Drosophila melanogaster: one gene and its partner. The protein of the gene in region 2 purifies or fractionates together with the protein of the main gene of each other region. This does not show direct contact. Each region holds a gene or a part of one and is shown on either strand. Other genes may lie near its edges. The genes, in order: CG5126 and Vha36-1.

Region 1 (15,810 bases), on a different chromosome or scaffold from region 2:
GGGATCGTGAGAGAAGGGGCTCCTCAGATTACGACAGCGATGAAGGCCACATGCGCAGGAACAAATACCGATCCACCACTGAAGCCCTCAATATTATTATAATCTTCGGTCTTACCAAGGAAATGACCAGAGCAGATGTAAGCCAAGCAGAAGAGTGGCAAATGCAACTCCTTTAATTACTCATGAACTAACTTTTTTTTTAGATTATGAGCGAGCTGATAAAGGTGAACATGGAGCCAGCGTGCATTCGCATTATCCGGAAGCAGGGAACAGGTGGGTTACGAAATCACTGACTTTGTTCTTTCAGCGTCAGACGTAAGTAGGTCCAAAAAGTTGGAGCGGCTTCGCGCTAATGGAGGCGAAGTGTACAAGTACCAATCGAATTTAACCGGCCACATGAATCGAAAAGAATACAATAGTCCACAAAAATGTTACAAACCTATCGAAACATTCAACATTTTTTGACGAAAACATTTTGTATCTGCTTCTATCCGAAAATTTAGATTCATCACGCGGTATAGCGTTTGTCGAGTTTAACACCGTTGAGGAGGCAAAGCAATGGATGGATATTACACAGGTATCAGCGCAATCGACCAGATCCCCTTGAAACTTTGATCATCATCAGCAGCCAAGGTTGTTCGCAGGCAATGATAATAAGGAATTCCTCACTGTTTAGCTTGCTTTGTCCAACTAAAAGTACTTATATGTAGTTGCAAGGAAACTAAGCACGAGTATAGTATTGCTTCATTAGAATTGCCCAAGAAAGCCACTCGAGGAGATTGCCAGCGGCTAAAACTTCGCGTTACGAAACACAGATGCAATCCGGTGACTGTGTAGAGTGTGAATGAAGGCATCCTAGCGATCGGTTACTAATCCGCAACCTTTCCTTCTCCTATTTCCATGTCTGGCGCACCAGGGCGTTCTGAAGTTAAACGACGAGCGGGTGAGCATGCGGTACAGCCACAAGCGAATTCAGGACTGGAACTGCAACAAGGTAGGTGCACTGAGATGATCATATTCTTAATGGCGAGTAATGTGTTTCGCTTGTTCCAGTGTGGCGTCTGCAACTTCAAGTTTAGATTCTATTGCTTTGTGTGCAAAACATCCCGGGAAGACAGCGAAACCACCTTCTCCTCCGGTAGCGAGGGCGTGGACGAAGTCAGCACCATCCTCACCAAAAGTATACAAACCACATAGACTCTCTTGCCATCTCGTTTTGTAGCTTCGATCGCAATGAAGTCCAACAGACCACTGACCGCCACGATTTCTCTACCACTTCCCCAATCCACGCAGAGATCATGCTACGCAACCTGGACGCCCTGACCAACGAAGAGGCTGTGCTCACTGCCCTCCAACTTCACCTAAAGGATCTGAGCAAGACCGTGAGCAAGGTGCTAATTAGTCGGGATTCCTTGACGCAGGCATCGCGTGGAATTTGTTACCTTCACTTCGACACTCTTGTCGACTCGATGAATGTGCACAATGCCTTGACAGCGCTGGATCCTCCACTTACCTTGGACGACAGAGTTGGTATGTGGCCTTAGGTGCTTTTTATAACTTAAATAATAACCAATATTTCATCCAGTGGCCATTACCTATTGCATCGACTTGGAGGAGCAGCAAGCATTGCCCAAGAACCCTAAAGAATTGGCAGTTAAAGATTCAACTGTCAATAGCGGGAACATTTCAGCAGTTTCGCCCTCAGGATTGGGTGGAAACTATACTCTGGCCGATGTGCCACGACTCGCTGAATATAGTGCCTCCCTGTACGCTTCGAATCCCGCAGAGCACGCTTATTATGTCCAGTACTATACGGAGTACTACACGGCAGATATAAACAAAAATAACAGGGATTCCCATTTGACGGAAGCCAATTCCGGAGCAGCGGTTGCCCTCTCGGCCATCCAGCGCAAGCAGAAGAAGATGAGCAGTATCGAGACCACGATCACAGCGGCGGCCACAGCTGCCGCACAGGCAGCGGCGCAAGTGAAGGCCACATTGGCTGCTCAGGTGGCCAGTGCGCCCAAGGGCAACGATGGAAAGATATACCGTATGTCGCCACTCACTTGAGTATGCTAGCATTTTATTATGTTTCATTATGTTGCAGCCACTCCCGATGTGACGCAGTACCAGTATGATGAGACATCCGGCTACTATTACGACAGTACCACGGGTCTCTACTACAATGCCCACTCGCAGTACTACTATAACAACGAGACGGGCGCGTATCTTTACTGGGATCAGCGCAGGAGCACCTATGTGCTGGCCACGCCCGCCTCCACTCAGGCAGCTCTGCAGGAAGTCCTGGCCGACGCCGAGCAAAAGGGGGAGGAGGAGTCCAAAAAGGCGAAGGAGAAGGAGGGTGGAAACAAGCACGACAAGGTTAAGGTGGCGAAGAAGATCGTCAAGGACATGGAGAAGTGGGCCAAGCAGCTAAACCAGAAAAAGGACTACACAGCTGTGGCCACGCCACAACCAATATTGGCGAACGAGGTAGCCACCACTTCGCGTGGCAATCAAGGGGGATATGCTGATGTGGGATTCTCCATTCTCGAGAAGAAGGAGAGGGGCAAGTTAAACGACTATGCGCCAAACCCGACTGTGGGTCCAATGAACAAGCTTGTCAATGCCTATGGCGGAACATCGGACTCTGAAGAGGACAATGCTGCGAGTTCGCAAAACACACAGAGTTCAGCGGTTGTAAGCGGCGGAGGAGGTGCTGAAGAGTCCGATTACGTGGACTTCCATAAACTGACATGCCTGCTCTGCAAGCGTGCCTTCCAATCGTTGGAAATACTCCAGAAGCACTTGAAGATGTCCACTCTGCACAAGGAGAACCTGGCCAAGCTCAATCAAAACACTAGCAGTAGCATCGAAGAGGCACTAGCGTAAGTGAAATCGCGATGTGTGGTGGAGTATATTATCATTGAATTCATATTCTTTCCCAGCTATCGTGATCGTGCCAAGGAGCGCAGGCTGAAGTACGGCGAGAGCGATCCTCCCCCACCAAATAGGAGCAGGGAGCGATTCGAGCAGGAGATCAAGACACTGCAGTCGCGGCAAAAGCAGTCTACTAGCGCTACTCCAGCCATGCCCATCAGTTCGAGCAACGTGGGCAGTCGACTGCTCCAAAAGATGGGTTGGTCGGAGGGACAGGGACTGGGCAGGAAGAACCAGGGACGCACCCAGATCATAGAGGTAACTGAGCTGACGGCAAGCTATAAAATGAATTAAGAAAATTAAGCATTTTGGGTTCCCTCAGGCGGACGGACGCTCCAATTACGTGGGCTTGGGCAACAAATCGGGACAGATGATACCGGGCAACGACTACAAATCCTATATAAAGAAGATGATGAAGCAGCGCTACGAGAATGCTTGAGAAATTGGTTTTTAGCCGTTTCACATGTTTCATTTCAACTAAAGTCGCCGTTTAATTCAGCTTTTCAACCGAAGCAAAAATTATTTCCATATTATATATGAAGCTTCTTGAGCATTGTTTTCCTAACAGATTGGCGTTTTTTTAAGTCCACGAGCAAGTGTGACCGTTTAGTTAATAGTTTCTGATTAAGCGAATTTAAATCCTTTTTCGAATGTACAAAATAAAATGTAACGGTGTAAAGTTTAAATTTGCTTGGTGTTGGGAAACAACTGTTAGCTGGCACTTGGTAGCCCTGGAGCTATCGGTCAGTTATCGATAACTGGCAGTCAGATACTTCGGGTGAACGGCAAAAAAGAAGACCGAGAATTTTTCTATTCGGGTTTTTTTTTTTGGCCGGATAACTGATTGTTTCTGCCTGAATGCAAAGAGACTTCCAGTTCGGGAACAAGTTTAACCAGCTTCCAATCCTGTTACAGTCGTGGTAACCAAGTAAGATGTGCGCACATAGACGGTTCATCTAATGGCAAAAGGCCAAATCACAAACACTGCATTTAATTACAATCGATTCGCATTAGATATGGATTCTCGATATGGTCACAGCTTCTCGGGCGGCAACGGAAACGGCAGCGAATCGGGCTACAGACGCTACAGTCGCTCCCGATCCCGATCCAGGTAGGTAGTCCTTTGTCCACCTGGAGCCTCTTAGTGGATTACTACCAATTGCGATTATTTCAGGGAACGAAGTCGGGACCGCAATGAGTACAGACGTCGCAACTCCCGTTCGCGCAGTCGGGAGCGGTCCTCACACTATAGAAACGACCGCAGTCCGGATCGCGATCTGTACCGCGACCTGATCAACGAGGATTACGAGGATCAGGGAAACTACAACTCGAGACAGAACCTTGACCAGCGCCACGGCGAGGACAAATACGATCGTCGGCATGCTGATAGCCAGGGTCGCAGGGATCACGATAGCAACTACGACAAGAGTGGCCAGGATATGGATAAGGACCGCGATCACCGCTGGAAAAACTACGATCGCGTTTCGAGAGAGCGCAACCATGATGACTTCGATCGGGGATCGGAGCGCAGCAGGTAAGAAATGATACATATTGCATATTACCCATATCGTGCTCAGTGTTATCACTGAGATTAAGATTAAGCTAAGTTCTATGTTTCCATTCACAAGGCTTCCATAAGAAGGAGGACTCCTCTTTCACTAGTTTAAAAGACCTTTCATTTGCTAATCACTTGTAATAAAAGTCAAAATAATTAGAAATCAACCCATTCAGTAATGTACACTTCCCTTTGTTCGCATAAATGCATACAAATCATCTTATGAAATATTCATGCTGGATGCCTTTAATTACAGTGGATAGTATGCAAACGATGGTTTCAAACGAACCGAACGAAAATTTATTCGACAAAGTGCTCATTGTATGACCTTAAAGAATCGCTTTCCTTTCAGCCGCAGCAATGACCAGCGGCAGTTCAATAATAATGGAAATAGTAACTCCAGCAGCAGTTACAGAGATCGCGAGAAGGAGCGCGATCGAGATAGACGGTGTTCCTCGGACGAGGACAGCGACATGGCCAGCGAATTCAGGCAGAGAGGTGCCTACAACAGTGGCAGCAGCGTTGAGCCCTTGAACAACATAATCCTCTTCGGTCTGAAGAAGCACGTCACGGAAGCAGACGTAATGTTTAAGCGATAAGCAGAACGAATGTAAAATTAACCAAGTAATCCTCCACAGATCATGGGCGAGCTGATCAAGGTCGACCTGGAGCCCACATCCATTCGCGTGATGAGGAAGCAACAAACAGGTGGGTTACATTTCCGTGTGTTACATTCGATTTAAAGTGAAATTGTAGAGAAAGCGTGAGTATTGCGTGCCCAGCAACATGTTCGATGTAGGACTTATAGCAATTTCAATTATACTTGGCTTCGACATCAGCAAAAACATATAGAAAACTACAAACCGAAACAAAAACACAATCCCCAAAAATGACACAATGCTAATGATACAACCAACATTTTTTGACCAAACATTTTCGTATCTACTTCTATCTAAAATTTAGGTGCCTCACGCTGTTTTGCATTTGTCGAGTTTAAAACCGTTGAGGAGGCGACTCGTTGGATGGAGTTAACCCAGGTATCCCTAAAAACCACAAGAATCTTGAATCTTCTCGTATCCGCCAAAATAGAAATGACGGCAAGATCCGATAGCTTGGCATCAACTGTTGAAAAATGTGTGCCTTGAGTTCAATTCTGCTGGTGGGCTGCCTGTCCCTTCCATTTTTCTGTCTTAGATCAGGGAACTGAACTCAAAGGCGGAATCGAATCTTACGTAAAGGAAGCAACCAGCATCTGCGTGATGTCGAAAAACACAGATGCAATCTTGGTGACTGTGTAGTCTGTGAACGATTTGCCTGATCAGCAGTTTCAGTTACTAATTCCAATTTTACCTCTTCTATTTTTCCGTTCAGGGAGTCCTCCAACTGGGCGATCATCGTGTCACCATGCAGTATAGTCACACTCGCATCTCAGACTGGACTTGCATTAAGGTATGCTCCGTTAAGATACAGATTGGCAACAATAATTAGCTTTTTTCGCCATCCTTCAGTGTGGTGCCAGCAACTTTAAGCGCCGCTTCCAATGCTACATGTGCAATGCGTCGCGGGCGGAGAGCGAGAATGCTCTTTACGGAGCCGGCGAGGGCGTCGACGAGATCAGCCAAATCCTCACAAAAAGTATATCCACCATGAGCAATATCTTTCAATGCCGTTTCCTAGCTAATCAGCTAAATACCCCACTAACCTGCCACGCTTTCCCCATGCAGAGATCATGCTTCGCGGCTTGGACGCGCTGACAAACGAGGAGGGCGTGCTAACTGCCCTTCAGCAGCGCCTGCCCGAACTGGCCAAAACAGTCAGCAAGGTGCTGGTCAGTCGCGACGCCCTAACCAATGCATCTCGGGGCATTTGCTACCTCAATTTTGACACACTCATTGATTCTATGAACGTGTTCAACGGGCTGACGGCGTTGGATCCGCCACTCACTCTGGACGACAAAACAGGTAAATTATTACTTCTTAATTATTTCATAATTAAAAAACAAAACTTTAATCCATGCCCTTCAGTTATCGTCACCTACTGCATTGACTCCGAAAACCGTCAAATGATGCCAGCCGAAGGCAACTTTTTTAGAGCAGGTGAAACAGCGATGTCTCCGTCGGCCATTACGGCGGCCTACACTTTGGCGGATGTGCCTCGTCTTGCGGAGTACAGTGCATCCGTGTATGCCTCGAATCCGTTGGAGCATGCTAACTACGTCCAGTACTATACGGATTATTACACGACTGAAATAAGCAAGAACTGCAGAGATCGTCAAGTGACGGAGGCCAACTCCGGCGCTGCCGTTGCTCTCTCGGCCATCCAGCGCAAGCAACGGAAGGTCAGCCAGATGGAGACCACGGTTTCGGTGACAGAGGCGAAGGTCGCCTTCCTTGCCAGGGGTGAAAGTGCTCCCAAGGGGAATGATGGCAAGAAATACGGTAAGTGAGCGCACACTATTCTATCTATGCGCTCCTGTAATGTCGAATATTTCATGCTCAATGGTTAGATACTCCCGATGTGTCCAAGTACCAGTACGACGAGACCTCCGGCTACTACTACGACCACGTTACAGGACTCTACTATGATGCCCACTCGCAGTACTACTACAACAACGAGACGGGCGCGTATTTGTACTGGGATCAGAAGCGGAGCACCTATGTGCTGGCCACACCCGCTTCCACTCAGGCAGCCCTCAAGGAAGTATTAGCCGATGCCGAGAAAAAGGAGGAGGAGGCCAAAAAGGCAAAGGAGAAGGAAAAAGAAAAGGAGGAAGCTGGGGGGAAGCCCGACAAGGTGAAGGTGGCCAAGAAGATCGTCAAGGACATGGAGAAGTGGGCCAAGCAGCTAAACCAAAAAAAGGACTACACAGCAGTGGCAACGCCGCAGCCTATCCTGTCGGATACTGAGGCGGCCACCACCTCCCGTGCTTCCCAAGGGGCATATGCTGATGTGGGATTCTCAATCCTTGAGAAGAAGGAGCTTGGCAAGCTCAACGACTATGTACCGGAGGCAGGACCTCCAGCGATAAGCAAATTGGTTGGTGCTTATGGAGGACCTTCTGACTCGGAAGATGATAATAGTGCCAATCAGAAAGCACTTGAAGCTAGCGTTGGGACTAAACGAGCCATTAGCGATGAATCTGACTACGTGGACTTCCAAAAACTTACTTGCCTGCTCTGCATGCGTGCCTTCCAATCGCTGGACATCTTGCAGAAGCATTTGAAAATGTCGAATCTACACAAGGAGAATCTGGACAAGCTTAAACGGAATCCCGCAGTTGAGGCTGGCACGGATGAGGGTCTATCGTAAGTGGGAATATGCTGCTAGAATGGAGATAAACTCACTAATTTACTTACCCGTACTTAGCTATCGTGATCGTGCCAAGGAACGCAGGCTGAAGTACGGTGAGAGCGATCCTCCTCCACCAAATAGGAGCCGGGAGCGTTTCGAGCAAGAGATAAAGACTTTGCAGTCGCGCCAGAAGGATTCTTTTGGCGCCACTGCAGCCATGCCCATCAGTTCGACCAACGTGGGCAGCCGCCTGATGCAGAAGATGGGCTGGTCGGAGGGCCAGGGACTGGGCAAAAAGAACCAGGGACGCACCGAGATCATAGAGGTAGGAGTCGACGAGGGCGACGAATGGCAAAATATGGATAATTCAATGTCAATGTGTATCCACAGGCTGATGGTCGTTCTAACAACGTGGGGCTGGGCAACAACACTGGCCATATGGCGCCTGGGAACGACTACAAATCCTACATCAAAAAGATGATGAAGCAGCGTTATGAGAACGCCTGAGACTCTTCTTAAAGTGTATGATTTTATTCCGCTTGAATATAGGGGCATTTAAGCATTGTTGTTTACCTCGATTACACTTCCTCCACCTTGTCGCGTTCATTTAGCATTAGTTGCGAAGTTCAAATTGTAAATAGTTCGTAAATACAGTCTCAAATTAGGTTTAAATTTAAATTGTAAATGCTTTAAGTATGGAATTGTGCAAGGGAATCTAAATCTCGTCCATGTAGCCATGCTCATAGGCGTGACGAACGGTCTTGAAGATCTCCTGGTTCGCCTCATCGCCAGCGATGTCCAAGGACAACTGGTGGAAGGCGGGGCCGTGCATATCCGTCTCGAAGAGGCGGGACAACTCGGCGCAATCCTTCTCGGTGCCGAGCAGCCAGGGAAGGAAGTGCATGCATACCATTGGTCCGTAGAAGGCATATCGTTTGAAGTGGGCATTGAAGCGTTCGAAGCTGTATTCCTGTAGCAACTGGTCCACCCGATCGTCGGTCAACTCGTTCCGGTTTCGGCGCAGAACCAGTTCCAACATTTCGATCATGCTTCGATGGTACTTGCGCAACAAGTCGGCGTAGATCTCCTTCCTTCCTTCGGATGGCGTGTTCATGTACATAAAGAAGCTCAGGTCAATGGCCGTAGTGCTGAAGCGCAGCTCCTGGAAATCGATGGCTTTGATAGCGTCCACCTTATCTTCAGCGCCGTAGTGGAACAGCACGTTGTTCCTGTTGTAGTCGCCGTGCAGAAAGGTGGCAAAGTGGCTGTCCGGTTGATCTTCGGCAAAGGAGCTGGTGCGGATTCTCTCCAGCAGGAGAGTTGGCTGCTTGAAGTACTTCTCCCGCAGTCGCTCGATGGCGGCCCCGAATCCGGGGTCTGCCCCCTGGAGGAGCTGCTCCTTTTGCCGGTCGTAGAACTCGTAGAACCGATCGAAAGCCACGCGATAGAGGACATCAAAGATGCCCTTTCCTGAGCTGGACACGAAGGGCATGTCCACCACTCCGGCGCGCAAACGAGCATGAACGTTCGGCTGGAGGATTTTCGTGGCGTAGCCCAGAGCATGGAACGGACCCACTAGTCCTACCATGGCCTCCAGCTGATCCCGTCGAAGGGTTAGCCTTGGCCCCAATTGGTAGCCATCGCCCTTGAGATGCTTTAGGGCCAGCACCGATTCCCTACCATTCCCTAAACCTGCAGAAAAGTAAACATTCGATGTAGTCATGGATAAAGTCTTTGTGGGATGCGCACCTTCAACGTGGCCAAACCTGGCGAAGTAGCAACAGGGAACCCAGTTCTTTACCACTTCGCTTTCCAGGTGACTCGTCCGAAGCACATTCTCATAGGCGGGCAGGATCTCGGCGTAGGCGAAGATCTCGTTGGAAAACTGGATGTACGAGTTGCTGCTCTCCCGGAACTCTTCCGTTCCCTTCATGAATTTGACCAGGACGACCTCCGTCCGCTTGCGCTCGGCGATGACCACGTCCAGCGTAACGGTGTACAAGGCGGACATGAAGCCGTCCAGTCCATTGGAGCACTCAACGCTGTGCGATTCCAGCGAAGCACTCGGACCAAAGTTCTTGAAGATGTCGTACACCAGGTGGCGCTCTATATAGTCTAACTGCTGCTGTTGCGTCGACATCGTGACCTCCACGCAGGAATCAATTGCTATCTGAATGGGTAATCTTAACTGACAATATACGCAAGTAGGTGTATATTTGTCCGGGCAACCAATCAAAGTGGTATCGATAGCCACGCGCAGGATTTTGGTATATTCCCGGTTTCAGCGAAGTGGTCACACAGAATCGCGATTGAAACGTGCACCGCCGGCGTATTGCGCGTAAACATAAGACATTTCACGGGGAATTTTCTGGACTTTGCTAACTCAATGGGTCCCAGCCACATTCCTCCGCTGACCTACAAGGTCGTGGCCGAGTGCTCCGTCTCCAAAGCCCGGGCGGGACTGATGACCCTAAGGTGAGCGTCTGCAATAAGATAGGCCTTGAAAACTGTGACTAAGCCGCATTACCAACTCTCCTAAACAGGCACAGCGAGGTAAACACCCCGGTCTTTATGCCCGTGGGCACTCAGGGAACCTTGAAGGGCATCGTGCCGGACCAGCTCATCGAGCTGAACTGCCAGATTCTGCTGGGGAACACCTATCACCTGGGCCTGAGGCCCGGAATCGAGACACTGAAGAAAGCCGGTGGTCTGCACAAGTTTATGGGCTGGCCCAGGGCCATTCTAACAGATTCCGGTGGCTTTCAGATGGTTTCCCTGCTGCAGCTGGCCGAGATCGATGAGCACGGTGTGAACTTCCGGTCGCCCTTTGACAACAGCCAGTGCATGCTGACGCCGGAGCACTCCATCGAAATCCAGAACGCCATTGGTGGGGATATTATGATGCAGCTGGATGATGTGGTCAAGACCACAACAACTGGCCCCCGGGTGGAGGAGGCCATGGAGCGGACTATTCGCTGGGTGGATCGCTGCATAGAGGCCCATGCCCGCGACGATGACCAGTCGCTGTTCCCCATCGTCCAGGGAGGATTGGATGTGCCGCTGCGTCAGCGTTGCGTTTCCGCTCTCATGGAGCGCCAGGTTCGAGGCTTCGCCGTGGGCGGGCTAAGTGGTGGCGAGAGCAAGCACGACTTCTGGCGTATGGTGGACGTGTGCACTGGCTATCTGCCCAAGGACAAGCCGCGCTACCTGATGGGCGTGGGTTTTGCGGCGGATCTGGTGGTCTGCGTGGCCCTGGGCATCGATATGTTCGACTGTGTCTTCCCCACCCGGACAGCTCGATTTGGTTGCGCCCTGGTGGACAGTGGGCAGCTGAACCTGAAGCAGCCCAAGTACAAACTGGACATGGAGCCCATTGACAAGGACTGCGACTGCAGCACGTGTAGGCGTTACACACGCTCGTACCTGCACCACATCGCCACCAACGAGAGTGTCTCCAGCTCCCTGTTGAGCATACACAACGTGGCCTACCAGCTCAGGCTGATGAGGAGCATGCGGGAGGCCATTCAGCGCGATGAGTTCCCCCAGTTCGTCGCGGACTTTATGGCGAGACACTTCAAGGCGGAACCTGTTCCGGCTTGGATACGAGAAGCTCTGTCTGCCGTAAACATCCAGCTGCCTGCGGATCCGGAGAGGATTGATGAGCAGGACCAGAAGCCAAAGACCGAAAAGAGACGGGAAACAGAGGACGTGGCGGAGGAGCAGGTGGCCTCCAGCTAACATCATCACATAGCAACCTTTGTGTTTTGATAACCCAAAGTTCCGACTAAGAGGCATTTCTTAATTGACACATACGTTCATGTATTTTACATGTCAAATGTCATGTAAGTTATTTTCATAAGAATAAATACTTAATTAGACATAGAATAAAAAAGGAAAAATAAATTACATCATAAAATTCAATCATACTGTGTGGATACAATTTATTTTGCTTATTTTATTTTTTTGCTTAAAGTTAAGGTTAGTAGGTTAGTCTATCATACCCCATAGCAGGGTAGCAGAATACTGGTTTTCATCTCTGCTCTGCCCACGTTTGTTCCGCTCTTGCGTAAAGCTCTCGACTCGTTGTTACCTATGGGAAAAAGCTCCATGTAGCCATAGTATGACGCATAGTGCAAATCGGTGGCGATCGTGGATCTCGCGTGGAACGACCGACCAATTTGTGATATTCTACTTGATTTTCGCCTTTGCCACGGCCTCTTTTCGTCCGTTCTTAGAGTAGGTGTGCGGTATGAATGGAGATGATTGGGAAACCTCTCCACTTGGCTCGGAGCTCTCTTCAGTGCTTGGCGCATATCTGTTTTGGACTGAACTCTCTGGGGGACAAGAGATACCCGCGACTCGAGATCTCTGAGAGCGGGAGCGCGAGATCGGGGCAGTGAAGTGGTGCTGGTGCTGGTGGCGGTGGTGGTGGTGGTGGTGGTGCTGCTGCTGCTGCTGCTGGTTCGGTGGATCGTTCAGTGAGTCCCCAAGCGTTGTCGCGTCCACTTTATCGCTGTTTCTGTCGCGGATTCGAACCACTGACTAACGGTAGTGCTGCACGCATCTGGCGGTAAATTGGCAGCGAGAAGCCCGCGCTAATAATACATTCTGAAAGCCGTCGAAAGGATTGCGAGTCCATATCAAGCATACGCCCGATCAGCCGCCAATCGATTGTAAGGAGCCACCCGAATTTATTGCTTTTCCACTGACAATTAATCACGGACTTGCTGTGCGTGTGTGTGCGTTTGTGTGAGTGCTGGAGTGGCTAGTGTGTGTGTGTGTGTGTGATTTTGTCTCGTTTCGTTTGCCAAATGTGGTAAAAGCGAATAAAATAAAATGAAAAAACATTTCGAAGTCGACAAACAATCGTGCTTTTTATGGCGCTGTCGCCTTTGCTTGTGGCCAGGATTCCGATTGGAGCATTCGCGGGGAGCGGAAAGAACCGAAAAAACCCTTATATAAAGTATACGCCAAGTATACCTGCCAAGTCCAAAAGCGATATTATTTATATTTTTGTATTTGCCATCGTTTTTGGCTTTGGCCTGTGTGTTTTTGAATTTCATGGTTTCATTTCTTTAAATAAGTTTTATTTTTAGCACTTTTAGTTATTTTTGTGTATATGTTTTTTTTTTGTTCTCACCAATTTCGCTGCTGCTGAGTTCAGTTTGCCTGATTATTTTCCGAAATCTTCATGCCGATTCTTTGGAATATTCATATGGGGCTTCCATTCTAAATTCTACAGTGTGCTCACAATGTGTGAAGTGATTTGTGTTTTTGAAATTCGGTTTAGTTAAAGGTGCCCCTAGGGTGGACCACAAATCGGGGAATATATGTATGTGGAGAGATCAGAGGGAATCACTTTCAAAACACAAAATGTAGTACTTAGTGTGTATAGAGTTCAGCCAAACGAACCTTCCAAAATAATCCCATAAATAAACTACTCAAATGAGTATTTCTGCTTTTTTTGATGTCCACTAACTATTGCCTCATTTTTCAAACACTCAAATTCGCTGGCCACAAAATCATAAATAAAAAGTAAACACACAATGGAGCCGATTATGATTGAAGGCACTTGGCGAAAAAGACTGCTGGCCTCCAAACTTAAAGTCCCAGCCAAATACAAATACCAAGGCAAGTGGCCAATACCAAGTGGCAACAAATTACCAGCGAAGAGTGTAAAAATAAAAGGAAAACTCTGATGATTGCCGCTAATCATAATCACACCAGAATCTCTCTGTTCGAACCGCTGGCTTTTTGTTTTTGCCCAGTATTTATAAATTATGACACATTCGCGAGTGGAAGAGAAAAGATATGCGGAGGAGAGTACTTTTCGCATTTCTTCGCGCTGCCACTCTTCGAACAGCTGCTGCGTGGGCGGAAGACTGGCGGGGGCGTGGTCGCAGAATTGTTTTGACGGTCTTCGAGCCGCAGAACACATGCAAAGTTCGTCGTTTTTCGAAAAGAAAAAACGAGAGTGAGAGCTGGCGCCAATTAAGCAAGTAATTATGGCGAAAGACACAAGGAAATAAACTTTCGCGGCTTTGTTTGTGGAAATTGATTAATTTCAATCTCTCAGTCGTCAGCTAAAAAAAGCTCGTCTTAATTATATGAATTAATGAACCCTGTTTATAAGAGCGGAAATTAAAATACAGCTCATCACTCACTTGGGAAGATTCACTCACTTGGCAAGCTAACTGAAATCCAAAAAAGTGTATTAAATTGTAAATTAAATAAATTCAATGTTCCATAAGCCGAATACTCTGCAAATAATTCTACTAAAAGCCTGAGTAAACATCATTGCAACTTATTTTAATCAGAGTGCCCAACAAATCAACAACCATTTTTGCACTAGGAACGCATATTCCAAACAGCTGAAACAAGTTTTTCAATCTTTTGGTGAGGCAGCAATTTGAATTTAAAAATCTTTGCTAATAGTTATTCTATGCAAAATGGTTGTTTGCATAAATAAACGGAAACGGAATGCTTGCCTGCATGTTTTGCCGCCCAGAAATCAATGCTCTTTGCAAATTAGCACGAATTCCGGCGAAAACAGAGGTTCATCTGCAAGATAAACCGCGCCGGAAAAACAGAATCACCTCCAATCCCATGGAAATGGCTGAGTGCTGATTCACTTGTCCAAACGACGAGTAGCATTTCTCCAAAATCGAAAATGTTTGGCTGCGGATTGTGTGGGCGACTTGCTCCGCGTCCAAAGGTAAACTCGCTTAGTCATTGGACCTATTTTTGCAGCGGATTTGCGACTTGGAAACACCCACCCCAGAAATTGGTAGTTACCTTAGACCTTGGGCGGATTTTTGGACATCTAATGCTGCTTGGCCTAAACGATTTGCCTTCGGTCACGGCCGAATGTTCGATTCTTGTCGCAACCATTTTTATTCTGAGTGTGGGTGAACAAACTTCACGGTGTTTGATCGGTTTCTGGTTGGTTTCGAATGGTTTTAGGCCAAAAACATTGCCATTCAGCCAATCGCCATCAGTTGACAATGAATGGCTTTTGTTGGTGACTTTGAAAAATACAAATAAAGGGAAAAAACATGATTCGCATTCGTATCTTTGAGAGCGAGAGTAAAAGGCTGGACTTGAATGAGATTCATGGGATCAAGATTTTTGACAACCTTGAATGCTCAGATTTGTGGAATGTAGCAAAAGATAAATGAACGGAAAGTTACAAATTATTATGAAAAAAAAAGCTGGCAAGTACTTTTTTGAAATATACAAACATATATATATCTATCAGATACAAATTGGTAATGAAGTTTTGCTTAAGTAAGAGATGTAACGAAAGAGCTCTTCTAATCCAAAAAACTGGTGTATATAGTTCAAGTAAACTTTTGCCTATTTATCAATCAATTAGCTCTGGTTCGAATGTTTAAAGTGGCGATCGGGTTTGTTTATCCGAGGAGACAAATGTTGACTGTGGCATTAGTGAGTGATTTTATCTGAGAAACCTCAGGCCCCAGGCAATAAATAAGAGATCCGAATGGCCACACATAAATCACTCCACCAATTTGAAATTCGTTCATTATTAAATTCGGATTCTTTTAATTCCAATTTCCATTTCCATTTCTCAATTTTGGCATGTGGGCATTAGTTGAGGCACCGAACGGGATTGGGAATTAAAGTTGCCGAGTCGCGCACTAATAAATCAAGTTCAATTCAATTAGTGCAATCCGGGGACACAAACAGTTTTCATTTCCTCCAGCCCCAGTTGGCCTCTCATAACCTACGACAATTTATAATGCTGGCAGAAGTGGAAAGAAATGCAAATGCAGATTTGCAAAATGCAATAAACCGGGTGCGGCATGCAACGAAATGACAATGAAACGTTGCAAATGCAATTCACTAATAACGCAGCGTCCAATAAATTGTTAAACAAATGTTGTTCGGCAATCAATAAATGAGCTGCCGCCAGTGTCTGGTGAATAATACATGCGGAAGTGGGTGGCTCCGCCCACCCGAAACATGTTGTAACTGCCATAAAAAGCGGCTTTTTATGGCCGAAG
Region 2 (15,255 bases):
TGGCCTACATACTGAAAGTTAAAGACATAATAGGATTTTATATGATATTCAATACGGGTATACGGGTACTAAAGGTAACCTGTTAATACCAAGTAGTAACTCACATGCAAAACATGATCCTCATTCTTGGTGACCACGCCCACTTCGGATGTGGTGTCCTGCACCGTTTTAGGAGGTCGTTTTGAGTGCTGCTTCTTTATCAAATGCGGCAGAAATTCGCCCTTAAAGGTTGATATATTTTCCTTCTGCAAAGATTGAATATTAGAAAACAATTTACTATAAGGTCATATCAAAACTAACCCTTCGTAGATAATCGATAACCCATTTTTTCAGCACATAAACATGAGCATCCACCAGTCGGCTGTATACATCCAACCTTCCGCGGTTCTTGAGCAGATGTCGCTGGATGTTGAGTGTTTCCTCGCAGTCACTGGCGGCGGATACGAAAGCCAATCTCTGAGTGGCCGCATGGATGCCAATCAAATCCCTTTCCGGTTTGTGCTTGCTTTTGGGACCGGGCATAACAACGTCCGACTCAAATCCGCTGGGAAATAGGAGCATTGCAAGGGCGGCATCATGTTCCCGAAACTTGTTGATCAGCGGATATAGGCTGACATTGCTGACCAGGTCGCAGCTGACCACCAGAAAGTCCGACTTGATCTTATCGTATATGTAGCGCAGACTGTCGGCAGTTCCGAAATCCCCGTCACTAGGAATCGTGGCATAGTCCAGTCTCAGCTTTAAGGGAGTGTTTTCCAGAGCAGATTGGATCTCTAGTTTTTCTTGCTCCAGTACCACAACAATGACCTCTGAAATATTTTTCAATTAAATCCAGGTTTTTAATTCAGACTATCCGAATTACCTGTAAAGTTGTGTTGTTGCAGCAGATTTAAGGGATACCAAATCAGAGGATATGGACCCACCGGCAGCAGGCATTTGGGGGCATCCCCCAAGACCTCGGGTAGACGAGTGCCACGCCCAGCGGCAAAAACTACGGCCTGGAACTCGGTCATTGTTTCACAAAAATATAAATAATTTCGGCTAAAAAGCGTGCAAGCACAAAAAGAGCCACGCAAACAGCTGATCCAATGCAAGCGAAACACCTACGAGCGCTGTCCAACACTGCTTCCAATCAGACATATGTTTGCTGTCATGTGACTGTGCAATTGTTTTTGTTGCTTTTGCTATTGTATAAAACAAGTCAGATGACCCTTTTTGCAATGAAAATTCCCTTTTTCCACTTAATTATTACACAGAATGCACATCGTATGATACAACAAGACTTTAATGCATGATTTGCGCAGCTTACACTACACTACAAAAATGGAATACATACTTTTCTGCTTATTGGAATAGTCTACACACTTTTGCTACATAGGTACAATTAAGTTTGTGGCTTGCCCTTTGCGAATTACAATATGGAAACGGATACAGAACAGAAAATAGTTTAACAATAATATTGCTGGAATAAACACATCCAAGGTAATACTTAGAACAGCACGTCGTCATCGCCCTCATCCAGGATATTGGCCTGCTGGCGCACATCGATGCCCTGCTGCAGCAACTCCGCCTTCTTGGCGTCGGCCTTGATGCGTGCCTCGCGCTTCTTGTCCTGGATCTTCTTCAGTCGGTAGAACTCCTCACGCTCGAGCTCGTCCAGCTCCGAGATGATGTAGGCCAAAGTCCTATCGATTCGGGGGATGATCACATGCTCAATGGCGTTCACACGACGGTTGGTGATCTTGATCACCTCGTCCAGGGTGACGAATGAGGTCTGCAGCGAGGCCAGCTCCACGAGCAGTTTAACGGCGCTTTGGTAGTTCTTCTTCAGCTTGGCCAGCTGCTGACCACCACGGGCTAGACCGGCCAGTTCGTAGGTGTCGGATCCGTCCTGGTAGGACTCGAAAACGGGCAGAGTGACACCAGCCACGTTGTCCTTCTTGGTGCGGATCTTGATCTGGGCCTTGGTCACGTTTTGCAGCACCACTTGGTTGATGTCGCCAGACGTGAATTTGGCCTCCGCCAGCGAGAAGGCTGCCTCTTTCATAACATCACCCATCAGGGTCTTGGTCTCGATGATCTTGCCCAGAATCAAACGGAATCGCATCTGCAGGGCATCCGCCTTCTTCTTGAGCAGACCGTGACCTTTCTGGGCTCCAGCCAGACGGGCCTTCATCAACATCTGGGCACCACGGGACGGGAAAATCGGTAGCCTATCTTTTCCGGACATTTTGCTGTTTTTTTCGGATGGTAATTGGCTGGACTAAACAATTTTCAACTGCGTATCAAGAAAACTGCAACCGTCGCAGAACACTGAAAAACTCCAACTGGAAAATGACGGATGACAGTGTTGGCTACTGCCCGTAGCCAATCGATAACCAGTTGGTGCTGGGTAGTGCGCTTAGATACAGTACTGCAAAATACGCAGCCACAGCTGATTTTGCATTTAAAAGTAAACAAATCTAATAAATTCCATTTCTTTATTGGATTTATAATGCTTCTGCAACGCGTGTGGTTGACACATTTAAACAACCATCTACGCCAATACGCGAACAAGTCGCGAGCCCACATCAAACCAGCCATGGCCGTGAGCATGCGGATGGTCCATCAGGAGATCCTGCATTATGTAAACCCCTTTGCCAGGATCAACGTGAAGTCCGATGTTTTCCTGCGCATCCAGCCCGCGGATGTGCATCAGTATACCAGCGGGGATGTGTTTATCGCCCAACTGGTTGGCGGCCATGTCAAGAACTCGAATGTCTCTCTCGATGTGAAGGTAACCGATGAGGACAAGGTGGTCAATGTGGTGGTTAAACAACTGGCGGAGCAGCCCTCAAAGCTTGAATGCCATCTGCAAATACCTGTGCGTTCCGATGTCTCTGTGGACGCAAAAGGTAGTGTGCGAGTGGAAGGCATACAGAGTGAACTGCTGCAAGTCAAAGCAAAGGAAGGCATCCTTACCAAAAATATCAAGGCCACCCATATAAACTTGTACAGTGAAAATGGCAACATCAATTGCCAGGGCACATTGCTGGGCAAGATTACCCAAATAGAGTCACAAAATGGGGTGAGAAAAAATTTACTATCAATCTGATCTTATTATTAACCTTTATATTTCTTTTTTAGAACATTGCGATGGATAAGTTGCAAGGAGACAGCTTGAATTGTTCCACCAAAGCTGGCAGTATTGTAACCGATTGTTGTTATGTGGAAAAGTCAAAGTTTCAGACACAAACTGGGCGTCTGGAGCTCAAGAATGTCCACAAAAGCAGCGAAGTGCACGTCCATCAGTCGTCGGATCTCAATATGAGTATGCGAAACAACGAAGAATAACACCATCATGCTAAAAACTTTCAATTTCAGCTGGAGTACATGGCAATATTCAAATAACTACCAAAGGAGGAAATTTAAATGTCCAACTCTCTGAGCTAGTGGGGAGCAACAAAATCGACGCCGAGAACTTATTAGAAGAGGCTATCATACACATTTCCCAAGCCATAGAGCAGAATCTTCACATCGAGGTAACAGCCCCCGAAGTGAAATTGGAAAACGAACTGGAGCATGTAGCCCATGCTCTCAACGAGAGCAAGAACAAATTCGTGCTAAGCAATCCAAATACAAATCGACTGGAAGTAAGCAGCACAGGCGACAAGGGCGTGCGCCTGGGAAAACAGTCATGGAGCGATATGATGCGTAATAAGTTGAAGGCTACCGGCACCTTGGACGATTTACCTTAGGTAAAGACAGAGACTAACTAAGTTAAGAATATATTGTGCTGCAAGCTACAATCTCAGTCATTTTTGCTTTATCCATCATGGAGGCATGTTGTTTAGGCTTGGCCCGACTCCTTAGCCACTTTATCCTTTAAGCATTCAAGTGCCCTTGAGAAAATGGCTTCTTCCTTTCCGGCTTTGAGTGCAGACACAAACAGTTGCACCTTTTCATCGCCAATCTCTTGGAGATCCGAGTTTTCCGCTTTTATCACCATACATGCCAACAGGCGCAGCAACTTCAAGGCGTTCTCCACATACTGCTCCTTTGGAGCGTCATCCTCCTCCTCTTCGTCCTCTTCGAACTCATTGGCGTCGGGATCACTTCCCCCCGTGTAGTTGTCAATGTGCTGTTTAAGTCTATACCACAATTCCAAAAGATTTAAGAAGGCCTCCTTGTGATAGAAGTACTTCAGGCGCTGCAAAAATAAATATTTAAATAGAACGTCGAATATTAAGTATCTTTTCCAAACTTACACTCCAAATGTGCGCCAGATCCTCGAGATACTCCTCCTGGCGTTCGCCTAATGGAATGAGTTGCAGAGGCTGCTGCAAAAACTGCAGTATTCGCGCTAGACAACTGACTATACTGGGTGCATACACATCCATGGAGGCCTGCGCCTCTGGCAGTTGGACCAGAATGGTGCATATATTGAGGTAGGTTTGTATGATCTCCACATCACAGGTTATTTTTGGTCCGCACGAGTCGTAACCGACGTCGGCATCTTCATCACTGTCGTGGGCCGCTGGCACTTCTGCATCTTCGTTGTCCTCGCCAGCTTCCTCGTCGGTCAATTTTGTCTGATCATCGCGCATGAGTCGCAAAAACGCGCTATTGACCCCCTCGCAGAGTTCTGGCACTAGAAAGACCTCCGCAAAAGGCTTTAGATTCAACGTGGAGTTTGCGTTTTCCTCCTCCACCAAGGCGCAACTGGCCAGCACAGCATTTGTGGCCTTCAGTGCAGCTACTAGCAGTTCATCGCTAACGGACAGTTGCAATATCCTGCCCAGGTTCTGCGCGGAGTTCTCAAAGGCAGCAAAGCAGATGTACCAGTTCACAGCGAACTTCTCCTTGCCGCTAAGCACATGGGCCATGATGTACTGAAAGAGTCGCATCAGCTGTATCAACATGGCGGTGTCCATGCAGTATGTCATCTTGAACAGGGTTTCCAACGTGTAGCGGTCACAGGCCAATATCTCTGCGCACTCCACCTGGGCGCACATATTGCCCAGCAGTCCGATAAGAATCTCGTAGAGCCGCACATCTTCACAGCCCGCCACCAGGGTGTACATGATCGGATCAATGGCTCCGTTCTCCAGCAGCAGTGTGACCACTTCGGGGGACACCGACATGTCCCACACTTTGCACAGGTCATCCTCCAGCTGCTGATCCAGTGTTGAATGCCGCAGTAATTCTCCCACCCTCATCACCGTTTTCAGGATGAATCGACTGCTGTACATGGTGTTGCCGACTGCATCGCCGCGCATACGCTCCAGCAGCTCCGCCTCCTCGGCGTCTTCCTGGGCGGGTGGGGGCGTGGTCGAGGCGCTACTGGCGCTGGCAGAGGCGGAGGCGTATGCGTCGCTTTCCTTGTGATTCGAGTTTTCCGCGGATGGCACATCGTTTTGCTTGGCGGCCACCGCAAGACCACTCGCCGATGGCTCCGCTTCTTCCTTGGGCATTTCGATCTGGATCCGGGTCTGGGCAAACTGTTTAACGGGTTCGTTTGGCAGAATGCAGAATGGCAGTGGTACTAATCAATATATTTTGGACAAGATCTTTTTTTTTAGACGCTGTCAGTGGGTCCGTTGGTTCTTTCATAAAAAATACCTTAAGCTTTGGAAAAGTCAGTTCGGAAAAGCTCGGTATCTAAATCACTTTTACATAAGCAGGTCACACTTTCTCGCACTTCGGTGGGTTGATCGTTTAAATATATTGCTCAAATGTGTGATACTTCTGAACTGGGAAAGTTAGTCAGCTGGTTAACAATATCAGTTTACAACTTAAAACAACCAAAACTACCTTTAACTTCTTTGAAAGCAACCAAAAGTGTGGATTTCATTAGTTAGTGAAGGTGCAAACCTAATCATCACCACACGTTGTGGAATCCAATGGAATCCACAAGGAAATTTAAAACATTGGCGCCTACACTTATTAAATATCGTATTATTAGTATGTTTGTTACTAAATTCAAAAATTCCAACAGCAACGTTGCTATAATATTATTCTTTTAATATTATATCTAAATTCGAAAATTCCAATAAAAGATAACATTATTTTATAACCATAACTTTCTATTAATAAATGACTTAGATGTAATGCTAACAATGAAAGGTAATCACAGTTTATGAGGTTTTTGGTTTTCCCTTGAGCAGCAAACTAGACAGATTGCTGTAGGGCAGCTCAAAAGCCAGCGAAAAGGCGATGGAGGCCAGATAAACGATCATCGTAAACCCGCAGCAGATGACGCTCTAAAGAAACAACTCAATATTATTAAAAAGCAAAATCAAATGAGAATGCAACTTACCAGCAGAAAGGGATCAACTGCAGAGCTCGTACTGGTCAGACTGTAAACGAGGGCAATCACCAGGGGATTTAATAGATATATGGCGTAGGACAGGCGGTTCAAATGCTGAAAGAACTTGGCCTCCAGCAGGCGTGACCACCAAACGCCAGTACCCGATGCACTGCCCACGATCATCCAGCAAATGGTGAGGGAAAACAGAGCGCGACCCAGAACAAATAGCGATATGGTGATAAGGTAACCCAGATCCCGCTTCACCGTAGAGTAGATGCAGCCCACGAACACCTTGAGACTGAAATGCCACCACCGGCATATCCGGCGTTCACTCAGCTCACTCACTTGGAATCGCTGCTCCTGGTAATACCATGCGGCTATGGCTCCCACGATATAGGGCAAAACTCTTACAAAGGGACTCGTGTATATCTGAGTGCCAGTCGCATAGGTGGAGTCGAAGGAGAACTCGAACTTCTTGGCGATTCCAATGCCGTAGGACCACGTTATCGTGCCCATTAGTCCAGTGAGTGTAATTGCCTTGGCTAGCTTTTCATGCCTGGATAGAAATATAATGAAAATAATAATATATTTCCTTGCGATTTTAAATCCAAACTCACTTGGCGTAAATAAAGAGCACGATGTTTGCCAGCAGGAAGAACTGCATGTCGCAGGCGAGGCTCCAACTCCAATTGGCGCACATTTCGCGGTGATCGAAGAGGTTCTGGATGAAGAGTAGATTCCTCCACCAGTGCTGTGGGCACAACTCGTCGAATCTCTCGTTGATGTGGAAAACGGAAACGTCTCCGATGTAGGCGAAGGCCAAGTCCACGCTGCCCATCACCACCAAGTAGAGAGGACCCAATCTCAGGTAGCGATGGAACAGCAGCTTGCCAAAGAGCTTCACATTGCCCCACAGGCCATTGCGACGCACTGCGTCCAGCTGCTGCTCATTTCTCAGGAAGTTGTACGTTTGCAAAAAGCCACTGGACAATTTTTTGTTTTCAAATGGATCAGCAAAATACATTAGATAATCGAATGATTATATTTACCTGATGGTAAAGAAGACGTCCACGAGAAGTGGAGCTGTGGAGACGTACTGGAAGAAGACCTGTTCCGCATAGGATATCAGTACCGTTTTGTTGTGCACAGTGAAGTACATGTACCACACGACATGGAAGATCAGAATCCAGATGGCACACACCGATCGCAGACCATTCATAATGGGAATCTCGCCTGGCTGGTTCTCCCTCATGGCGGAGATCTTCCGCCAGTTATTGGCCACATCGAAACAGGACACGAAACTCTGAAAAGGCTGCCACTTCAAGAGGGTATCCAGTGCCTGCCACAACTCTGATTCCACCGGAGCCAGACCCAGATCCGGCTCATCGGCCCTCTTGGCCACCCGCACTTGCTGGGCGCAGAGCATTAGGGCACCGGTTACCAGGATGGCGGCCACCACCAAACGGAAGGTCAGCCTCTGGTAGAAGCGTTCGCTCAGCCGGAGGTCCTTCATGTAGAGCACCTCCGGCTTCATATCGAACATATCATCCGCGGCGAACAAATCTCCGGCCACATAATACCTGGCCAGCTGCTTCACCTCCTCGGAGCTGCAGGAGCTGGGCAGGCACAATCCAATGTGGAGCACCTGTTCGGACATCACCTTAATCTCCACCTGCCACGGTGAGCGGTGGCGCATGTATATCACGCGGTAGTCCATCCCAAAGGGAGCACTTTGCGTGAGGATGCTGTAGTGCATTACTCGCTCGTAGTTCCGCGACAAGGTGATGCCTACGGGCCGACGGACACCTTCACATCCATCCCGACTGCCCAGCCAGTAGTTCTGGCCGAACACAAAGCCGGATGGCTTGGTTCCCGACGCATCTAAAACTAAAGATATACGGAAAATTATATTGTATATATTTATATATATACTAAAAGTTCTGGTCACTCACCCTTCATGGCCCATGGTTGCCTGCTGAGGATTCCCCGCTGCACTTGCTTCAAGTGGGCGTAGCAGCTGGGAGTCACATTGCTCTCGTTGGCCACTTTGGTAAGCCCGAAGATGACGGAGCTCCTGGTGAGATGGGGTTCATGCGGTGATTCGATGGCAGCTGCTTCTTTTCCCCGAATATCCGTTGAGATAATTTCTGGGGACAACTCCAGGCTGCCGTTGAGAAATCCGTACTCGTAGCGGTGCCGTCGCAAAGTGGACTCATTCACGGCTGCATTCACCACTAAAATCCAGATGCTGATGATCAAGACCAATCTCCAGTGCTTTTCCATGCCGAGGAACCGCTAACGAAGCGGCAGCTGTGAAAAGTAAGAGGTGTTTAATTGTTGACCCGTCAATACGAACGCACTCGAGTTACGAAAAGCAAACCGAGTTGGACCTTAAGTTACGTCTACTTCCTACCGGAAAAAATTTACGAGACGCGTAACGAAGTAATGATGTTTTTCAAATTAGTTAACCCTTTAAGATCCCAATCAATTTATTTCCTAATTTCTTATCCTCCTTAAAATCAGCACCTTTTAAGAAACCAACTTTCACTGTTTGTTTAAATTGATCACAGAGGTAACATCGAATGTATCTTTATTGAAATAGCTGTCCAAATAATGCGTGATTTATTCCAGATTCAATGCTTTAATGGGCTAAAGAAACGTATTTCGTTCAGAAACATTTACAATATATATAGGTTTTCTTATATCTAGAACTTTCTTTAGAGAGCTATTTAATGTGAGATCTTACATTTTTTCACTAATTAATATTCTTTACATTAAAAGGGTTAAAAAGGAAAATCGCAGAACATGGAAGTGGTGTGGTGGCCAAGTGGAGGACTTTAGAGCTCAATTCAAATATCAATTAGCCGCATCCGAACAAGTAAGTGCGTCTCAATGTCAGCTGCAATGTATCGGATTAGTTCGATTCACGAGAAATTCGTGAGATACTGTATCTACAATGAACAGTCACCCGAAGGTTTACGGATGCCCGAGGCAAAAACTGTCGAACTTGTCACTTGCGCGCTGATTCATGGAAACTCAATTGCCAACTATTGAAGCCACCAAGTTCAGTGTTATTACCACTAAATGTCTGCAAAGGTCAACGACTATGGCCTGGTACATATTGCTACGATCATTTCATCTGGTGTCTCCAGAATTTACTTGCATACATTAAGCTTGACCAGGCGTATGGCATCTTATTGTCGTTTGCCCAAAGTACTCATTCCAAATAAATTCGTTGTTTGCATTGGCTGATTGAGGTAGAAATTCGAGAATAAGTCCCCCGGGCGATTTGCCAATTTGGCAGCAGGCGTGGGCCAAAAATTATCGAAAATATAAATATAATATGGCTAATGTTTTCTTTGCTCTCGAAGACGTCGTCGAGATTCGCAGTTGTAAGTCCCCAGATAGCCAGTTTGCATTTTATGGCAGCTAATGGCTATTCGATGAAACCATTTCAAGGGTAAATCGTAAATCTGCGCTTGGCTTCGCATCCACTATTATATTATTTTCCGATTTTTGCCTATGCAAATGAACCTTCACCTTAACTTTGCGGATCCCGATCGCCCAGTTTGGTTTCTTTTTCCCTCGTTTTTTCTTTGGACAAACGATGGGTTTTGTAACTAATATTCGCGAACTGGCTCTGGTTTTGCCATGTTTGCTGCACGCTGGTTTTTAATGGAATGGCTGTAGGAAAAATGGTGATTTATATTTTGACACTGCCTGCTTATGATCGCGTTTGGGGGTCAAGGATCGATTTCAATCCGGGATCTGCAACTAATCGAAGTGACCTACTTTTCAAACAATAATCCAATCAATATAGAACTGTCCTTGGCACTCGCTCTTATTCCAAAAAATATTAGTTTACCAGTATTTTTGTCTTGTTTATTTACTTTTGTAAGATTCGCAATCGAAACTAATTTTTAGGATGTGTGTGTTTTTTTTTTTAGCGCGACACTCGCAGCTTCGCGTCTTTCGCAGATACTGTGACCCTTTGCGGCGATTCCAAACCTTTATAAACTCCGTGAGCGCCCAAAACGCACGTGAACAGGTATCAAGCGGGTATTGAGTTAAAAAAATTAATAAAAAAACAGCAACAAAAAATGAGATACGAATGAAAACAAACCGAGCGATGAAAGCGAAACTGCTTTTCGCTTTGTTTATTTTTGGGAATCGGAACGGCCTGCATTTGCGATCGGCTCGTTATTTTTTTTTGGTTCACACGTATACGTCACTAGGCCGGGCTCAAATTGCCGGTCTTGAGTTCTCGTTTTTCACGCCGATCGATCGCGTTCATTGACTCCGCTATGATGGGGAGGCGTTCTTCCGAGTTGAAAGTCGCTCCCTTAATGAGGCAGTGGATCCTTGCATATGCGAAACTAGAAACCTACAGGAACTACATTTTTCTTTTTCATTTTCCGTTGGTAGCTTTTTTATTCGTCTATATATCAATATCAATAAAAAGTAAAACGCAACTGATCAAGTTGCCCACTTATGCGACCCAACTTCAGTTTTTTTGGAACAAAATAGGTTTCACTGTACTGAAAATCAGCATTGCAAAACAGGAAGTGCCACTTAAAATGCAATTGCAAATGGAATGGTTCCACTAGGGAACGGTTATTTTCCAACAGGGTCAAAATAAATTACAGGAATATACAACGGAAGAAGCCGATATATTTCCACATTAAATTAATAAATGACAAGTCAAACAACAAATTAAATCTAATATGACGTTCTATAAGTAAAACTTATGATTATTTCATAAAAAAAGTATACATTGGTTTGAAAAAAAATGGTCCGGGGAATCTGGGACTCAAAGAATTCGTTCTTAAAAGATAATTCAAATGATTTTAAGATCGTGGTCAGATTATTTACTTTAGTTTGTAGTACGCTAAGTAAACGAGTTTTATTTAATTTTAAAATTATTAAATATTTTTTAACATTCTAGCTGGACAATACTTCTACCTTTGTATATGTTACCTTTATATAATATTTGCAATAACATCATTATATATATATTCACTTTTTTAATAGATCCAAAGTTTGAAAATAACGATATTTTAAAAAGCCCTTTTTTCGGTCTGTGAATGGTCACACTAAAATTCAATTTTAGAACTTAGCGAGTTCACCCACCCAAACTAGAATTAAGCACATCGTTTTTGGTATTTTTAGAAAAGAAAACTGTGGTATTTCTTGGGCACCCTGCACACGGTCACACTCATCGATAGTCGCAAGAGCAATCGATGATTCTGCATCACTAGTAAAAATTGCTGAGAAAAACGAAAACGCGAAAAATGAAAACGCAATACAGAAAATCAAAATTGAAGTGAAACCAAGTGCGAAAACGAAGGAGCTAAAGGTGCGGTCAAACGATAAGCATATCCCAAATGAAAACAATGCGAGTGTGCAGCCAAAAGAGGCCCCCATTTGTGTTGCTCCCCTCGAAAGAAAAAGAGCCATAAAAATCGATTCTTCAAAGAAGTCGCACACTGCGTTCGAGACTTTTTTGCGCGGGCGGTGGAGCCTGGCGTTGCTTTTCGCCAACTTTTCGTGGAGCTCGTAAAGTTTTTGTATTTCGCGTGGCTTTTGAGGGTTAAAAAGAGCTACCTGTGCATAGTGCATACCTGCTGATCTGTGTGTGTGTGGGGGTGTAGTTGTGTGTGAAAGTGCGAAAAGAATATCAAGTCTGTATGTACATATTCGCATTTATTTGGACAGCCCTGAAAAATCGGACAGGACACTAGAATCACATTCTTAATTAGCTAATTTCCAGTAAATATTTGAGTGTGTCTCGCGTAAATAACGGAATGCCAGCACATGACAATAAAACGTATCCGTGTGCGTGCAAGTGTGTGTGTGTGTAGTAACAACAAAGCAAAAAAGCAAAAGCAAAACAAAGTGAATGACAAACGGCGAGAACGAAATGGAAAACCACCCCCCGCACCACCCACTTACTGTTAGACATGTGTGCGCGTGTGTGCGTGGCGCTAATTGAACTCACACAATATATATAATTTATTTTTTTTGGCGCTCCACAAAAGCCACTTACTTGTGAGTCAGCTTACGACTTCCACCTGCCTTCCAGATTGCGTGCTCATAACTCCCGCGAGGACGACAACTACCGCTAACAACTAACGGTCATAAAAGTCAAAAGCAACGAAGCCCGAGGAGAAGGAGCTAGCCACGCCCCCCGCTGCAGCCCCCGCTTAGGGAGCCCCGCCCATCCGCATATCCACTCCGCTTCATCTAAATAGAGATTCAAAAACAACACCCGCTGCATCCACATCCGCGATGGCTAGTGATAAGATCAAAGTCGCCGTAAGGGTGCGACCCTTCAATCGCCGAGGTAAGTGCCGATTTACATGCCCCACATAATCCCCTGTACTGGGAGAAAAATTCGCCAACTTATGGAGTTTCAAAATATAAATGTTTCACAATCGACATGAGCACAATAATAAGCAACAGATAGACATAATTTCTGATTTTTCATTGTACAAAAATGTTACATTATCGTAAATTAAAAAACAAAATAATTTTGGAGTAAATCTGAAAAGCTACAGACTTAAAGCTTAAATATTCGCCCTTTAATTTTGTGTTTTAATGCGCTCATATTTATCTATTGTTATGTTAAAACTTTCATCTTTTTTTTAGTATAATAAAGTAGTTTTACGGTTGGTCGTGAGGGTGGTTAAGCAATTTCTATAAAATTATAACATCAGATGCCAGGCACTCCATTTATTTTGTAAGAGTTGATAATATAGTTCATAAGGAGTTGCCTTGAGTGGCCCGCACTTTCCATTTTCCCCACTTTTTCACATTGTTTCCCAACAATGGCCAACAAGCACTGCAGTTGCCTGCAATCAATAATGCAAACAACCAACCAGGCAAGCGACTGTTTTTTTAGGCTAACGAAATTTACATGGGCTTCCTCGCTTCCTTTGAAATACGGTTTCGTTTTTCAACTGCTGCGCCAGCGGATTTTTCGCAGGGCTTAACTGCAGAACTACAGCGTCTACCTACGGGATGGTAATGGGATGGGATGGATTGGGATGGTTTTGCAAGGTCCCCGGTCTGCTCGTCTGACAAACGATTTGCGTTTCCAGCTAATTTCGCGTTACCCACTGCCAGCCACGAAGTGTGTTGCAAGTGCAAAATAACTAAAAATGAAAAACAAGCAACAGCGCCGTCAGCGTTTCCAATGTCAACACTGATCATTCATTTGGCTCATCCATGACTCACACTCGCGGCGGCGTCGGCGGAAGCGAAGGATGGCAGCGGAAAAGGGGCTCTACGACCCAACCATATGCAAAAGATACCTATGTAAACGCATATAAGCGTGCTGCATGCTTGTATTTATGTGCCTGTGCGTGGGGCAAGGTCCACTTGGATCCCCTGCTGTATTGATTGAATGGCAAACTTTGATTGCACATCTTATTTATATTTACATAAGGCATTGAATCAGTTACATTTATTGCATTTTGGTGCACCCTCTGTTTATAAATTGGCATAACGTAAAGTTTGATTTCATACACATATAAACAAACGGCAGGCTTAGAAAGTATTCCATTTATATGGGTCACGATCCTAATTGATTGAATGACAAACCTACACCGATGACTCCATGTTTGTTTATATTTACATGATTGTATAATCCATCAAAACACATTTCTGTTGTTATTTTGTAGCTTTTCTTTTCATACTCAGTTTGTCATAACTCGATTAGATGGACTCTAACCTATTAGGTCTTTATCTATAGCGAAGCTAATGGATGAATTAGGATAATTGCAATTGCATTCTGGTTTTAGAGGTAGTCGTTGTGGAGCATAGTGCAATAATTGTGCACTTGCAAGTATTTGCAAATGAAACACAAACTAGTCTTAGTAGCTATGGGACCTTAAAGTGATGAATTCTGCGATCACAGATGCTCATTTAATTACAAATAACTTTGTAATTTTGACAAATTTATTACCACGCTAGTGCCAGCTACTTGTGAAACTAATTAATTGTATCCGTAACACTTGTATATACTTGTTTATTGGCAAACAAACAACTACTTCTGGTTATCCATCATAATGTGTCACTTGTAATATTTTCCGGCCAAGTTAGGCGTACGCATGGACTTGGTAACCGCGTGTATTTTTAGAAGTTTGACCGTGTATCGATGTTGTACTTTGTCATGTTTTTGGCTTGTTTGATCCGTTGCTGTTTTGGTGTCTGAAGAGAGTAGTAGTCGTAGTCACCGGAAAGTCTGCGATAAGCAACGCAGAATCGTTATCACTGGGCTGATAAAGGCTTGTATTTTGCGATACCCAGCGTGTTACACACTTGCAGTGACTGGCATTAGTCAACAGTGTATTTGGGCCATGTCCGTAACTGGTGACCTCTCCGCGTTGAGCTGGCCAGCAGAGCGTAAAATGAAAACAGAAAAGGCAATTTCAAACGCAAAGACACGGCAAAGGCAGCTGAAAAGTCAGGCGGCGAAACAAGCTCGAAATGAAGTCACAGCTCTTTACTTCTTACCAAAAAGCTTAACCTGTTTTCACTATGCCAGTGTATGCGGAGTATATGTATGTTAATTTCAGCGCTGGACAATAGCGAAGTGAAAACCGTTTGAGGTTATACGAACTCGCCATCAAATCAACTGACCAGAACTACAAATGAGACCATCAAATAATTTATGGCACGCCTTCGTCACATTCGAGACTTTGAACAAGACATGTAGCCCGTAGCCACCAGCCGGTAGGGTCAGCTCGTTGCTCCTGAGTCCTTTGCGGCTTTCATTTCCATGTCATGTCACGTTCTCGGCTTTGTAACATAAACCGGAACGGAAGTTCCAAAGGCCAGGCAGCACACCAGGATACGGCTGTACATAGATATATATATGTATATACCTATACTTTTAGCCCAACCATTCCATCCCGACTTGTGTGTGTGTGTGTGGGCCCAAATGTGTCTGTCCGTCTGGGTTT

What was found.
Region 1: the proteins of Vha36-1 (region 2) and CG5126 purify together in Drosophila melanogaster (affinity purification with mass spectrometry, with the first as the bait; one large-scale study listed by BioGRID). This does not show direct contact.

Annotation. Positions count from the first base shown.
Region 1 is NT_033779.5:1,173,994-1,189,803, forward strand, and holds CG5126 (uncharacterized protein), read right to left. Parts: upstream 10,028-15,810; 5' UTR 9,927-10,027; coding exon 9,536-9,926; intron 9,479-9,535; coding exon 8,502-9,478; 3' UTR 8,304-8,501; downstream 1-8,303. Other genes in the region: CG4887 (uncharacterized protein), read left to right, coding at 1-137, 204-273, 504-577, 917-994, 1,054-1,180, 1,294-1,530, 1,586-2,050, 2,108-2,888 and 2 more; CG4896 (uncharacterized protein), read left to right, coding at 3,957-4,051, 4,115-4,474, 4,848-5,076, 5,134-5,203, 5,459-5,532, 5,867-5,944, 6,004-6,130, 6,220-6,456 and 4 more; Tgt (tRNA-guanine transglycosylase), read left to right, coding at 10,173-10,261, 10,330-11,524.
Region 2 is NT_033778.4:15,528,512-15,543,766, reverse strand, and holds Vha36-1 (vacuolar H[+] ATPase 36kD subunit 1), read right to left. Parts: upstream 2,333-15,255; 5' UTR 2,231-2,332; coding exon 1,490-2,230; 3' UTR 1,269-1,489; downstream 1-1,268. Other genes in the region: eIF2Bgamma (eukaryotic translation initiation factor 2B subunit gamma), read right to left, coding at 1-11, 105-245, 301-809, 863-1,013; CG8187 (uncharacterized protein), read left to right, coding at 2,495-3,067, 3,127-3,310, 3,364-3,737; CG30467 (uncharacterized protein), read right to left, coding at 3,830-4,189, 4,248-5,453; CG30471 (uncharacterized protein), read right to left, coding at 6,117-6,242, 6,299-6,845, 6,907-7,272, 7,339-8,176, 8,242-8,572; Khc-73 (kinesin heavy chain 73), read left to right, coding at 12,578-12,632. UniProt on the Drosophila melanogaster protein: Subunit of the V1 complex of vacuolar(H+)-ATPase (V-ATPase), a multisubunit enzyme composed of a peripheral complex (V1) that hydrolyzes ATP and a membrane integral complex (V0) that translocates protons.